Linked DNA regions of Rhinolophus ferrumequinum. The protein of the gene in region 2 interacts with the protein of the main gene of each other region in a pairwise test. Links are inferred from orthologs where the notes say so. Each region holds a gene or a part of one and is shown on either strand. Other genes may lie near its edges.

Region 1 (5,128 bases), on a different chromosome or scaffold from region 2:
TGCTAGAAGGGAATCAAGTTCCCCTGCATAAGACTTTGTCAGACTTTAAACCGTTACTATTTAATGGAATTTTTAAAAATTCAGACATTAAGAATGATTGACAGTTTCTATATTGAGAAGGCATTCTCAATAAAAAGCCAAATAGTATGAAACCCTAGGGAATCCATTTCTCATTATTAACACATTGGTTTTTCTTTTTTTTTTTTTAATTCTATATCCTCTAATGATATGACTTCTGTCAAATGGGGAAAAAATGCTTTCCTTATTGTAGCTTCGATACTTAGCAGAAACAGTGTAATTTGTATGAACTTAGAAAATGGGACTCAAGCTAGAGTTTTAATTCAGAGGGATATGTCTGTAATATAGGAAAGGTAAGTTATGATTATGTGTATGCAGAATGTGAAACTGTGAGTTATTAGTACAATGAGTGTGTTGATATTTTCCTCCCAGCCTTTTCCTTAAACTACTTACATAGTTACGGCAAGGTGATGAAGCTCGAGAGCTGTGATGAAATAATGAGTTCTAGAAATAACCCCAAGTATATTGGAAATTAAGTTAAAAACTAGTCACTATCAGATAAATGCTTTTAATGACTTTTTAGGATTAATCTATAACACAAGACTAACAAAGTTAGAAAGGAATAGTTGGGAATTGGTGAATGTTTTAGACTAATTTCATTAACTAATGTGCTGATTGGAAACTATTGTTTTACATTTGAAAACCGTTTTCACCTGTTGTTTTTGAGATAGGCTGATATATTTCAGTAGATTTGAGTAATGTATAGCGTTTTCTATGACATTCTCTTCACTGTATTTTGTGAAATAGAACATAAATATCTTAGCTAGGAAAATTAATAAGATGATTTCTGAATGTTCATCTAGTGGGTGAAGGGGGACCAGCTACTGATAATCCTAATGCCTGCACTGTAAATTTGAGCATTCCTGTCAGTGATACTTTTTGCAACTCCAGTCCATGTTCAATTCAGGCCACGAGCACCCGCAGTATAATTTTCTTTTAAATGAGGCTGAGGGGAGTGTTGAGATAGACATAACATGATTTTACCGCATCAGTTCTATGACCACAAATTTTTGAGTGCCTAGCACTCTGCACGCATTTTCGTACAGTAAAATATTTACATATTCTATGCATTATCTATTCTTAAAAATAATACGTATATACTTATATTTTCTTTTATATATAGGGAGGGCTGAAAAACAGCAAACATGAATGCACCCTGTCTTCACAAGAATACGTTCATGAATTACGATCTGGTATTTCAGATGAGAAACTTCTTAACTGCCTAGAATCTCTGCGGGTTTCTTTAACCAGCAATCCTGTCAGGTAAGTGGCTCTTATTGTTTTAGTATGATTCATACAATTTGTACTGTACATAATTGTTGGGAGCGTAATCATTCATGGTATTTGAACCTCAAGATTTTCTTTTTTCTTTCTTTTTTTGGGGGTCAATTTCCTCCCCCCCTTGCACCCACTGCCCTCTGCATTCGAGGAGCTTTCTCTGCTACACTTGCCTTCCCTCCCTGCCTCTCTGTCTGCTCTCCCTCCCACTCCTTTGTCCCACCCTGCCCAGGCTGCCCGGCTCCTGCAGCCTCCCGCACCCCCACCCACCATCCATGTGGAACCTCAAGATTTTCTGACCAGAAGTCTGATGTTAGTTAATAGAACAGCAGTGTCTGATTATGAGGTTGTAAACATTTAACAAATGTAGTTAAAATCTGATCACTAATCGTGCAATTTTAAGAATACAAATATTACTTGGATGTTAATTCCTCTTTGATTATATAAACATGGATCTAGAAGTTAAATATGCACATTTACATGGAAATATGTGTACTCATATAAAGATTATATTATTTGTAAAACAAATTCAGTATATTGGCTCCATGATATTATTCCTTTTCAACTTGAAGTAAATACATTTTTACATTCTTCTACAAGTTTTAGATCCACTACTCATACATTTCTGTAATTTGGGATAGCAAAAATTAAATTATTTTGACCAATAAAAGAAATGAGAAAGTATTAATAAATTCATTTTGGCACATAATTAAATTGCTATTTAAAATTAAAATCAGAATTTATCATTTTTTTCACATTTAAAAAAAAGGGAAGTATTAATAAACTTCAAAACGCTATACATTTAGGCTATTACCTAGATACGAAGTATAACTGATGTTACTTTATTAAACATAAAAAGCCTTAAAATAATTATATCCCAAATTAAATGTTTCTATAAGGAAAGTAGATGTTCAGAGTACTATGAAAATAGTTTTGGATCTACTTACACAGTTGCTAGACTCTTAAATTCAAATTACTGGATAACAGTATATAGAAACCACATTTTGATTTTATTCATGTTTTTCCTAGTATATCGTGGGGGCCACATCTTGTACGTCTCTCACCTATCCACAGAGCCTTAAAAACAATTTAGAGCTCTGTCATTCCATTTGTATTCACGTATAATTTGAAATATATCATACTTCAGTTGACCCTTGAACAACGCGAGGATTAGGGGTGATGATCACCAACCAAGTTGAAAATCGGCGTATAATTTAAGTTAGCCTTCTCCATAACACGGATTCCAGACTGCCAGTTGACCCTTGAACCATGCAGGTGTGGACTACCGGGGTATAAGTGGCCCCGCGTTGTTCAACGGTCAACTATATTTATTTTCACCTATAGTGCATTTGGCAGAGTAATTGGGAAATTACGATTCTACAATAAAACATTTTAAAAGGCAGTGGTAAGATGTAACTTACCTTTCAATGTTAAAAAAGGTAGCGGTCTTGGCTATTTCTTCTAGAATGCTTCTGGTTTTAATAATTTGAACAAGGATGTGAGTTCTTTGAGAACAGTAGCCATGACGGTGGTCCCCCCTACCCCCTCGTCGTTCCCCCACCCACCCCGTCACCCTTGTTTCCCCGCCCCCCTTGTCTTACCCCTCTCCCTCCCCCCCCCGCCCCCGCATGCAATTTACAGCACACTACTGTCGTGCACTTACATGTTCCGGAATTTTTGTTGAATGGTTAATTGAGTGAATAAATGATTCTATAAGATGTGATTATAGAAGAAATATGCTTCTGGTTTTAAGATTCGAACAAGGAAGTGAGTTCTTTCAGAACAGTAACGATGGAGATGGTTCCCCCATAATCCCCTTCACACCCCCCATCCCCCCACCTACAGCGCTCTACCATAGTGCACTTAACGTGTTCTGAAATTTCTGTGGCATGGTTAACTGACTAAGACGTGACTAAAGAAGTATGCTTCTGGTTTTAGTGATTTGAGCAAGAAAGTGAGTTCCTTCAGGACAGTAACCATGGCGGTAGTACCCCTGTCATTTACCGCCACCCCCTACCCCGTCTCCTTCACCCCTTGTCCCCCTCATCTATAGCACTTTGTGTTCCGAAATTTCTGTTGGATGGTTAACTTGAGTGAATAAATTAATCTTTAAGAAGTGACTATTGAAGAAGTTGTGACATTTAGGAACGAAGAGGGGGGGGCTGGCAAAAAAGTATTTTTATATGATGGCAGGAAAGGCTGAAATTACACACGGGGCCTTTAAAATGCAGCCCAGCAAGCAGGAGCTGACTCCAAAGAATTGTGGGATCAGTCGAGAAGCTGGCAGGTTCTGATTGGCTGGAGGCACCTACATTCTGGAAGCTGATTGGCTCCACTGGTGGCGTAAGCTGCTGGTGTCGTCACAAGGCACGCATTCGGTGGTCGCCCGCAGCAGAGGTCGGAGCCTGGCCGAGGACCTCGCCGACTAGAGCCAGATCCCGCCACGTCGTCGGCCTGAGCTGTCCTTAAGATGAGTACGAATGCTTTTGAGAGCAGCGGCGGCTTCTCTGCTGCGGGTGGAGGCAGTGGGAGCAATGAGCACCCCTCTCAGGGCGGCGCCCCTCCTGCTGCGATGGCTCCGAGATCCAGGGCTCGAATCCGGGACATTATACCTTGTTGTGTAAACCAGCTGCTCACGGCCACTCTGGTCGACAATGTTTTCAAGGTCAGGGGAATAGAGGTTTCCCAGGTCTCCATCGTGGGGCTCATCAGGAGGGTGGACAGAGCTCCATACTACATTCTTTACAAGATTGATGATATGACCTCCAAGCCTATCGACGCCCGCCACTGGCTCGGCAGAGACAGAGCGAAGCAGGAGCTGACTCCGTTTCCGGCGGGAGTATATGCCAAAGTGTTCGGTATCCTCAGAGGTTCCGCCGAGGTGAAGAGCCTTGAGGTGTTGAAGGTCCGCATCCTGGAAGACATGAATGAGTTCACCGCACATATTCTGGAAACGGTCAACGCGCACATGATCCTGGCTAAACGCCTCCAGGAGGCCCCTGGGCAGAATGCACCTGTTGCTCCATCCAAAGTGGAGGAGGTTGCGGAGTGCGGCGAGTCCAACCTCGACTTCATCAGGAAGGAGGTGCTGCGCTTGATCCACGAGTGTCCTCAACCGGAAGGCAAGAGCGTTCACGACCTCCAGACCGAGCTTCGCAGCCTGGGAGTCGGCGCCCTCCAGGAAGCCCTCGATTATCTGATGGTGGAGGGTCACATCTACCCCACGGTGGACCGGGAGCATTTTAAATCTGCCGATTGAAGCGCGAGAAGGTTTTTCATTTTCCGAAGACCCTTGCCTCCAGCTGTGAAGTGTGTTTGACCTGTTGACTTTTAAGAAGTAGTTTGTTGTTTTTCCGACAAAAGATCTCAACTGGCTTCCTTTGGAACCTCACTGCTTTTCCAACCGCTTTGAACTTTTCTGTTTTATATTTGAACCGCAGAGGGAGATGCGATGGATACATTGATTGGACTTTTTGTAGGATTTACCAGCAAACAAATGAAAACACTCCTGATGGGGTGAATTTGAGGGAGAAAAGGTACAGAAAAAGTTAAATATTATTTAGTTGAAGGAGAGCGTCTTTTTTTCTGAAATATCTGTGTATTAGGAGAAAATAGGTGTAGTCATGGAGCCAGCTGAGAGACAATTTTTTTTTCTGTTGTTTTTATGTTAGACTTATTTTCTAAGTTTGGTTTTAGCTTATTATCGTCATTGTTATTTCTTGCTAAATATAGTGATTAATTCAAATGTGCTAAAGATAGCAATTGAAAAATT
Region 2 (7,069 bases):
CTGGAAGTACTGGCTATTATAAAGTATCTGGCACATTGGAAATGGTCGAAAACATTACTTCCTTTGCCTTTCTTTATATTACCCAGTTACTTACAATATAAAAGCTGTTCGTTCTATTTATCACAATAGTCCCATGCATTCTCTCTTACTTTGTGTTAGCTCTTGCCCACAATGCCTCTGCTATTTGTGTGTTAGTTGTTTGCCCATTAGGGCCTGTGTCTTTTAAACTAAAATGATATTATTTGCTTTAGCTAATAATCAAAGTTGACAAAGGTCCTCTACAATCTGTCACCACAAACATAGGCAAAACTTTTCTTTGTCATTTATGAATAAAACCGAAGTAATACTTTATCTGACACTAGAAATATGTTTCTAAAATCTTGAATATAGCAAAAACCTCATAATCATTCATTTTTTTTAAAGTGAAGAGCTGTTCCTAATTTTTTTCCTACTCCCATAATTTGTCTGAAAAGCAGCTATAAAGTAAATGATGACAATTTGCAATTACTTCCCAGGTCTAATTATTCCTAATTTATTAAAATATCCATTCATTCCGCCAACTGTTCTTCCCCTTCCTGTTTCCCCCAAGCTCCCTTTCTTCCCCATTCATCTCTGTCCCTTTCTTTTCACCGCCTCATATGCAACTAGCAAACGTTTATTGGGCACCTAAAACTTGCCAGCACTGCCCCAGGTATTCAAGGTACCATGCTGAGCAAAAAAAAAAAAAAAAAACAAACAGACATCATTTCAGACCTAAAAAAAATGTAGTCCAGTGGTGGAGACAGAAAGTACCTGATATTAATCAAATCAACAACAAATAAATGTAAGCTTACATCTGTGATTATCAATAGGTAATTAACATGCTGAGCAGTCGCTATGTATCTGGCATGGGCTAAGCACTTTAAATGTAAGAACTCCCTTAATCCTCCCACTATCCAATAGGTATTAGATATTATTACCCTATTTTACAGAAGAGGAAAGGCCAAGTTTAACATCTTGCCCAAAGTCACAGAGTTGATAAGTGAACTCAGAGAAATTTGGGTCTCAAAATAACTGGATTTCACCTAGCATGGGAAGTTAACAACTGAACTGAGATGTGAAGACTGTTAGCCTATGAGAGTGAAAAACCACCTGGGCAGTAGGCAGAGGGAAAAGAATGATCAAAACCCTGTGGAAGGCAAGGGTATAGAATAAACCAGGAATTTAAAGAGAAAAAGGACTGGAAAGGAAGAGAGAACAAGTTGAGAATATGCTATAATGGAAATAGCAGGAGGAGGGTATGCTGAGTGGCAGTGAGTGATCCAGGCAAAAAATGATGGTGCCAGCGAGGATGGAGGGAAGTAGATGGAGTTAAGAGATACATGTGCAAGTAAACATGTATCCTGAACATTCAGGGTGACACAGGAAGAATGAGTCCTCAATTGCTCAATTTCTGGCTAGCATAACTTAATGGATAATAGTGCAATTCACCCAGATAGAGAATACCAAGCGGCCCAGATTCAGAAAGATAGTTCTGATTTGGGACATGTTGAAATTTAAATGACTTTGAGGTATCAGGTAGGATAAATTAGAGTTTTGTCTTTCAGAGTAAAAGGTGACTCCGGACAAAGAAACTTGTGAGCAAGTAACATAGAGATGGTAATGAGGTTGTCTTGGAAGAGAGCCTTGAGTCAACAAACATTTACAAAGAGAAACCTGTAAATAGGATGTGAAAACCAGCCAAGCTGCGCCACAGAAGCGCAAAGAAGAGATTGTCACCAGAAGGAAGCAATGCTCAAGACTCAAATGCTGCTGAGCACTCTGATAAATTGAAAATTGAAGCATCTGTTGGATTTAGCCACTTGGAGGCACTGTGAATTTCAGCCCTAGTTATTTCTACAGTGATCATGGGGGTGACTGATTAAAGTGGGTTAATGGGTTGATGGAGGGCGGTTGTGCAACTCCAGTGGCTCTCAGAAGTCGTCCTTTCAGCTGTGCCCGGACATTCCAAGTCCTGCTGCCACTGTGGACAAGGCTCAGGTTCATTTCTCCAGAATCAACTAAGAAATGCTCTTTTCTGTGCCCCTGCTTAGTTCTTTCTAATTGTTTTTAAAATGGCAGATATGGTTTTGGTTTCATTGGAGCGATTTCTCATTGCCTCAGAGAGCGTGGCAAACCCGTATGTCCTCTATGTACTGCAGTCAGCCACACCCCACAACTCTGCAGCACCTATAAGAAAGTTCTGAAACAACCAGAATTCTAAACAGCCATGATTTAGCTAAAAGAGCAATATCCCTTTGCATTTTAGCAGTTTTGCAAGAAGTGTGGCTCTTTAGAATACCCCATCTAGTGTTTATGTTTGGTGAGCGTTGGCTTTCATGAATTCAACATGTATTGAGTGTCTACTCTGTGCCAAGCACTGGGGATACAGAAAGCAAGACAGGTCTCTGACCTCAATGCGCTGACAGCCTAGTGCAGGAGACAGACAAGCAGACCAGGGCACGGGGTCAGATGGACTACCTGGGCTTGAAGGCTCAAACACTTTCTCTGTGAAATCGGAAATGAAATAGCTGAAAACAGACAATTCTGGAGAAATTTGGCTGTGGGTGGGGGGGGAGGGAAGGAGACAGAGAATAGTCTCAGGAGATGGGGGGAGTCAACAGTTTATTTTGTTTCGTGTTCTTAAGCAGGAAAACGTAAGCATGTTTAAAAGACGATGGGAAAAATCCTTTCAAGAAAGGGTGATGATTCTAGGGAGTCCACCCGGCGGTTCCCCCCCACCCATTCCCGCTATCTCCTCCTTTCCTTTTCTCTTCCCTCTCGCCTCCAGCTCTTCTTCCCCTTCTCCAATCCGCACAGCCCCAGAGCCCACAACCACTCCGGCCCTCCGGCCCAGCTCGCAGGCATCTCCTCACCGCAATGGCCCCTTCGCTCAGGTGGCCCACCATGGCTCCGCCGCAACAACTCCCGCGCTTCGGCTGCGCTGCTGCCCAGGCTTCACCCGCGGAGTACGGCGCGCTCTAAGGCAATTGGCCCGAGGAGCTGAGTACGCCACTTCCGCCTCTTGTCGTTTACACGGCACAGGGGCGGGTCTAGGGGCTGAGCAGCCACCGCATTGGCCGAGGCGCGGCGGACGACCACGTGACCCTCCCAAGCCTAACTTCAGGCCTAGTCGCCGGATGGCGGGATCTGAGGGCACAGAGCCAGGCTACGGGACGCGCCAAGGTTGACGCGAGCGCCGCTAAATGAAGCGAGTGGAACAGTTCCGGGATCTTGGCGAGCGGGCTCTCGGAAACATACCCGGCTCGACTGGTAGCCCAGAGGAGAGTTAGAGCTGCTCCCTGATAACCCTGCTGCTAAATGTAGTCAAAGCAGTGACTTGATCCTGAGCTTAGCACACTTTCTGAAGGTAAATAAAACCTGGTTCCTGCCCTCAGAAAAGAACATAGGCTGTCGCGGGAGCTTCCGCTGTAAGTAGCCCTAACTCAAGGTAGACATGGTATGGGCCCCAGGAGAGAGACAAAGTATGCTGGAATCACACTGATGTAAAATCAGAAAAGGCTTCCCGGAGGAGGTGTCATTTGAACTGAGTCTTGACGGATGTGTGGAAATTTGCTTGGTGGACTCCAAGTGAGGGCAGGGATGAACCTGGAAAAATGAATAGCCTATGCAAAAACTGGAGTGATGAATAGCCTGGCAAGCTGGGGATGGCATTGAATAGCTCAGGATAGTAGTTACCTACAGAGGAGGTGAGACTTGAACATTAGTAAGCCAAGGGTCAAATAATGAAGGGTTTCTATGGGGCTTTCCTAAATGCTAGGAGGAGCATTGATGAAGTTAAGGCAGAGTACTGACATCTGTCTGAATGCAGAAGGATTAAATTGGGGTGGGGGGGGACTGAGGGTATGGAGATTAGTTACGACAGGCTGGAAAGAATGCCAGACAAGACATGGTGAAGGCTTGAATTAAAAGAATGACCTGGGGATTGAAAAAAAAACTGAACTCTGTAAGAGATATAAATATTTGTTAATAGTTGCTGGGGAGAGTGAGAAAGAAGAATCTGGGAGGTCTCTTAAGGTTTCTGACTTGAGCAACTAGGGTAGATGGAGTTCTAAGAGAACAAGGATGGTGGCTGTCAATTCACCTAGCGTGGTGCCTGGAACAAAGTAGGTTTTCAATAAATAATCTCTGAATGAAAGAATGTTGAGTGAATTGGAGAAAATATAGATCCTTCTTCAGCATGTAAACAACTATAGAAAAAGAGCACAAGAATTGATTATGTTGCTTCATGCTTGCTGGAATGAAATCTGGATTTTCAAAAATTGTGCATTTGTAGAAATCTAAATTCCTTACTTTCTTATTCATTTTGTAGACTTAAAGTAGCATGGATCTGCCCGTAGATGAGTGGAAATCATACCTATTTCAGAAGTGGGCTTTGCTCCCAAAGTCCATTCAGGTCACAATTTCTACAGCAGAGACTTTGAGCGATGTCTTTCTTCACACCTCTTCGCTTCTTCAGTAAGTTAATGAAAGCTTTAACCAGGGAAATTTTAATCTGGAAAATGTTCCCTTTTGTCATTTGCTCTCAAGTTATATCTCATTTTGATGGAAAGATTTTAAGTTTATTTTGTTTTTTGCATAAAGCATTTTGTCATTTTAATTTTTTTGTGTGGTCAAGTAACCCTATTTTATTTATTTTATTTATTTTTATTTATTTTTCATGAGTTTCAGATGTACAAAACAACATGATTAGACATTTATACCCCTCACAAAGTGATAACCCCAACAAGTCTACTACCCCTCTGACATCATACATAGCCATTGCAATACCATTGACTGTATTCCCTATGCTGTACTTTACATTCTGTGACTATATATATATACATTTAATTATAGTTGACATTCAGTATTACTCTACATCAGCTTCAGGTGTACAGTGCAGTGATCAGGCATCTACACAATCTATGAAGTGATCCCCCTGATAATTCCAGTACCCATCTGACACCCTACATAATCTTTACATTACTGATTATATTCTCCGTACTGTAGTTCACATCCCCGTGACTACTTTGTGACTACCGGTTTGTACTTTCTAATCCCTTCACCTTCTCCCTCCTACCCCCTCCCATCTAGTAGCAACCATCAGTTTTTTTTCTCTGTATCTCTGAGTCTACTTCTGTTTTGTTTGCTCGTGTATTCTGTTCTTTAGATTCCACATATGATTGAGATCATATGATATTTGTCTTTCTCAGTCTGACTTATTTCATTTAGACTAATATCCTCTTGGTCCATCCATGTTGTTGAAAATGGAAAGATTTTGTTCTTTTTTATGGTCGAGTAGTACTCCATTGTATAAATGTACCACAATTTCTCTATCTAGTCATCTACTGATGGTCATTTGGGTTGTTTCCATATCTTGGCTATTGTGAATAGCACTGCAGTAAACATAGGGGTGCACATATATTTTTTGAATTAGTGTTTTGAATTTCTTTGGATAAATACCCAGGAGTGGAACTGTGGGGTCATAAAGTAGTTCTATTTTTAATTTTTTGAGGAACCTCCATACTGTTTTCCATAATGGCTGCACCAATTTGCAATCGCACTAACAGTGCACAGAGTTCCATTATTCTCCACATCCTCGCCAGCACTTGTTGTTTGTTAATTTATTGATGATAGCTTTTCAGATAGGAGTGAGGTGGTATCTCATTGTGGTTTTTATTTGCATTTCTCTGATGATTAGTTATGTTGAACATCTTTTCATGTGTCTATTGGCCATCTGTATGTCCTCTATGAAGAAATGTTTCTTCATGTCCTTTGCCCATTTTTCAATTGGATTGTTTGGTTTTTTGGTGTTGAATTGTATGAGTTTTTTAAATAAATTTTGGATATTAACCCCTTATCAGGTGTATCATTGGCAAATATCTTCCCCCATTCAATAGGATGTCTTTTTGTTTTGTTAATGGTTTCCTTTGCTGGGAAAAAACTTTTTAGTTTGATGTAGTCCCATTTGTTTATTTTTTCTTTGGTTTCTTTGCCCGAGGAGATATATCAGTAAAATATTACTAAAGGTAATGTCTGACTTCCTATACTTTCTTCTAACAGTTTTATGGTTTGGGGTCTTACATTTAAGTGTTTAATCCATTTTGAGTTTATTCTTGTATATGGCAGAAGAAGGTGGTCCAGTTTATTTTTTTTGCATATATCTGTCCAGTTATCCCAGCACCATTTATTAAATAGACTGTCTTTACCCCAATGTAAATTCTTGCTTTCTTTGTCATAGAGTAAATGACCATATAGGCATGGATTTATTTCTGGGCTCTCTCTTCTGTTCTATTGATCTATGTGTCTGTTTTTATGCCAATACCATGCTGTTTTGATTTCTATAGCCTTGTAGTATACTTTGATATAGGTATCATGATACTTCCCGCTTTGTTCTTATTTCTCAGGATTGCCATGGCTATTCGGGGTCTTTTATAGTTTCATATAAATTTTAGGTTTATTTGTTCTAGTTCTGTGAAAAATTTCATTCGTATTTTGATAGGGATTGTGTTGAATCTATATATTGTTTTGAGTAATATGGACATTTTAACTATATTAATTGTTCCTATCCATGAGCATGGTATATATTTCCATTTATTTGTATCTTCTTTAATGTCTCTCTTTAATGTCTTATAATTTTCTGAGTATAGGTCTTTTACTTCCTTGGTTAAATTTATTCCTAAATATTTTTTTGATGCAATTGTAAATGGGATTGTTTTCTTAATTTCTCTTATAATTCGTTATTGGTGTATAAAAATGCAACCGATTTCTGAATATTAATTTTGTATCCTACTTTACTAAATTTGTTTATCAGTTCTAATAGTTTTTTTGGTGGAATCTTTGGGATTATATATAGTATCATGTCATCTGCATATAATGACTATTTTACTTCCTCCTTTACAATTTAGATGCCTTTTATTTCTTTTTCTCGTCTAATTGCTGTGGCTAAAACTTCCAGGACTATGTTGAATAAAAGTGGGGAAAGTGGGCAATCTTGTCTTGTTCCTGATCTTAAGGGGAATGCGTTTAGCTTTTCCCCATTGGGAATGAT

Evidence for each region. The genes of interacting proteins can lie anywhere in the genome.
Region 1: the proteins of RPA1 (region 2) and RPA4 interact in binary tests that used the Homo sapiens proteins (3 or more experiments, as listed by UniProt). The link is inferred for Rhinolophus ferrumequinum from reciprocal best matches to the Homo sapiens genes RPA1 and RPA4.

Annotation. Positions count from the first base shown.
Region 1 is NC_046284.1:57,984,178-57,989,305, reverse strand, and holds RPA4 (replication protein A 30 kDa subunit), read left to right. Parts: upstream 1-3,826; coding exon 3,827-4,615; downstream 4,616-5,128. Other genes in the region: DIAPH2 (protein diaphanous homolog 2), read left to right, coding at 1,202-1,341.
Region 2 is NC_046304.1:16,154,682-16,161,750, forward strand, and holds the start of RPA1 (replication protein A 70 kDa DNA-binding subunit), read right to left. Parts: upstream 3,031-7,069; 5' UTR 2,928-3,030; coding exon 2,895-2,927; intron 1-2,894. Other genes in the region: SMYD4 (SET and MYND domain-containing protein 4), read left to right, coding at 4,364-4,497. UniProt on the Homo sapiens protein: As part of the heterotrimeric replication protein A complex (RPA/RP-A), binds and stabilizes single-stranded DNA intermediates that form during DNA replication or upon DNA stress.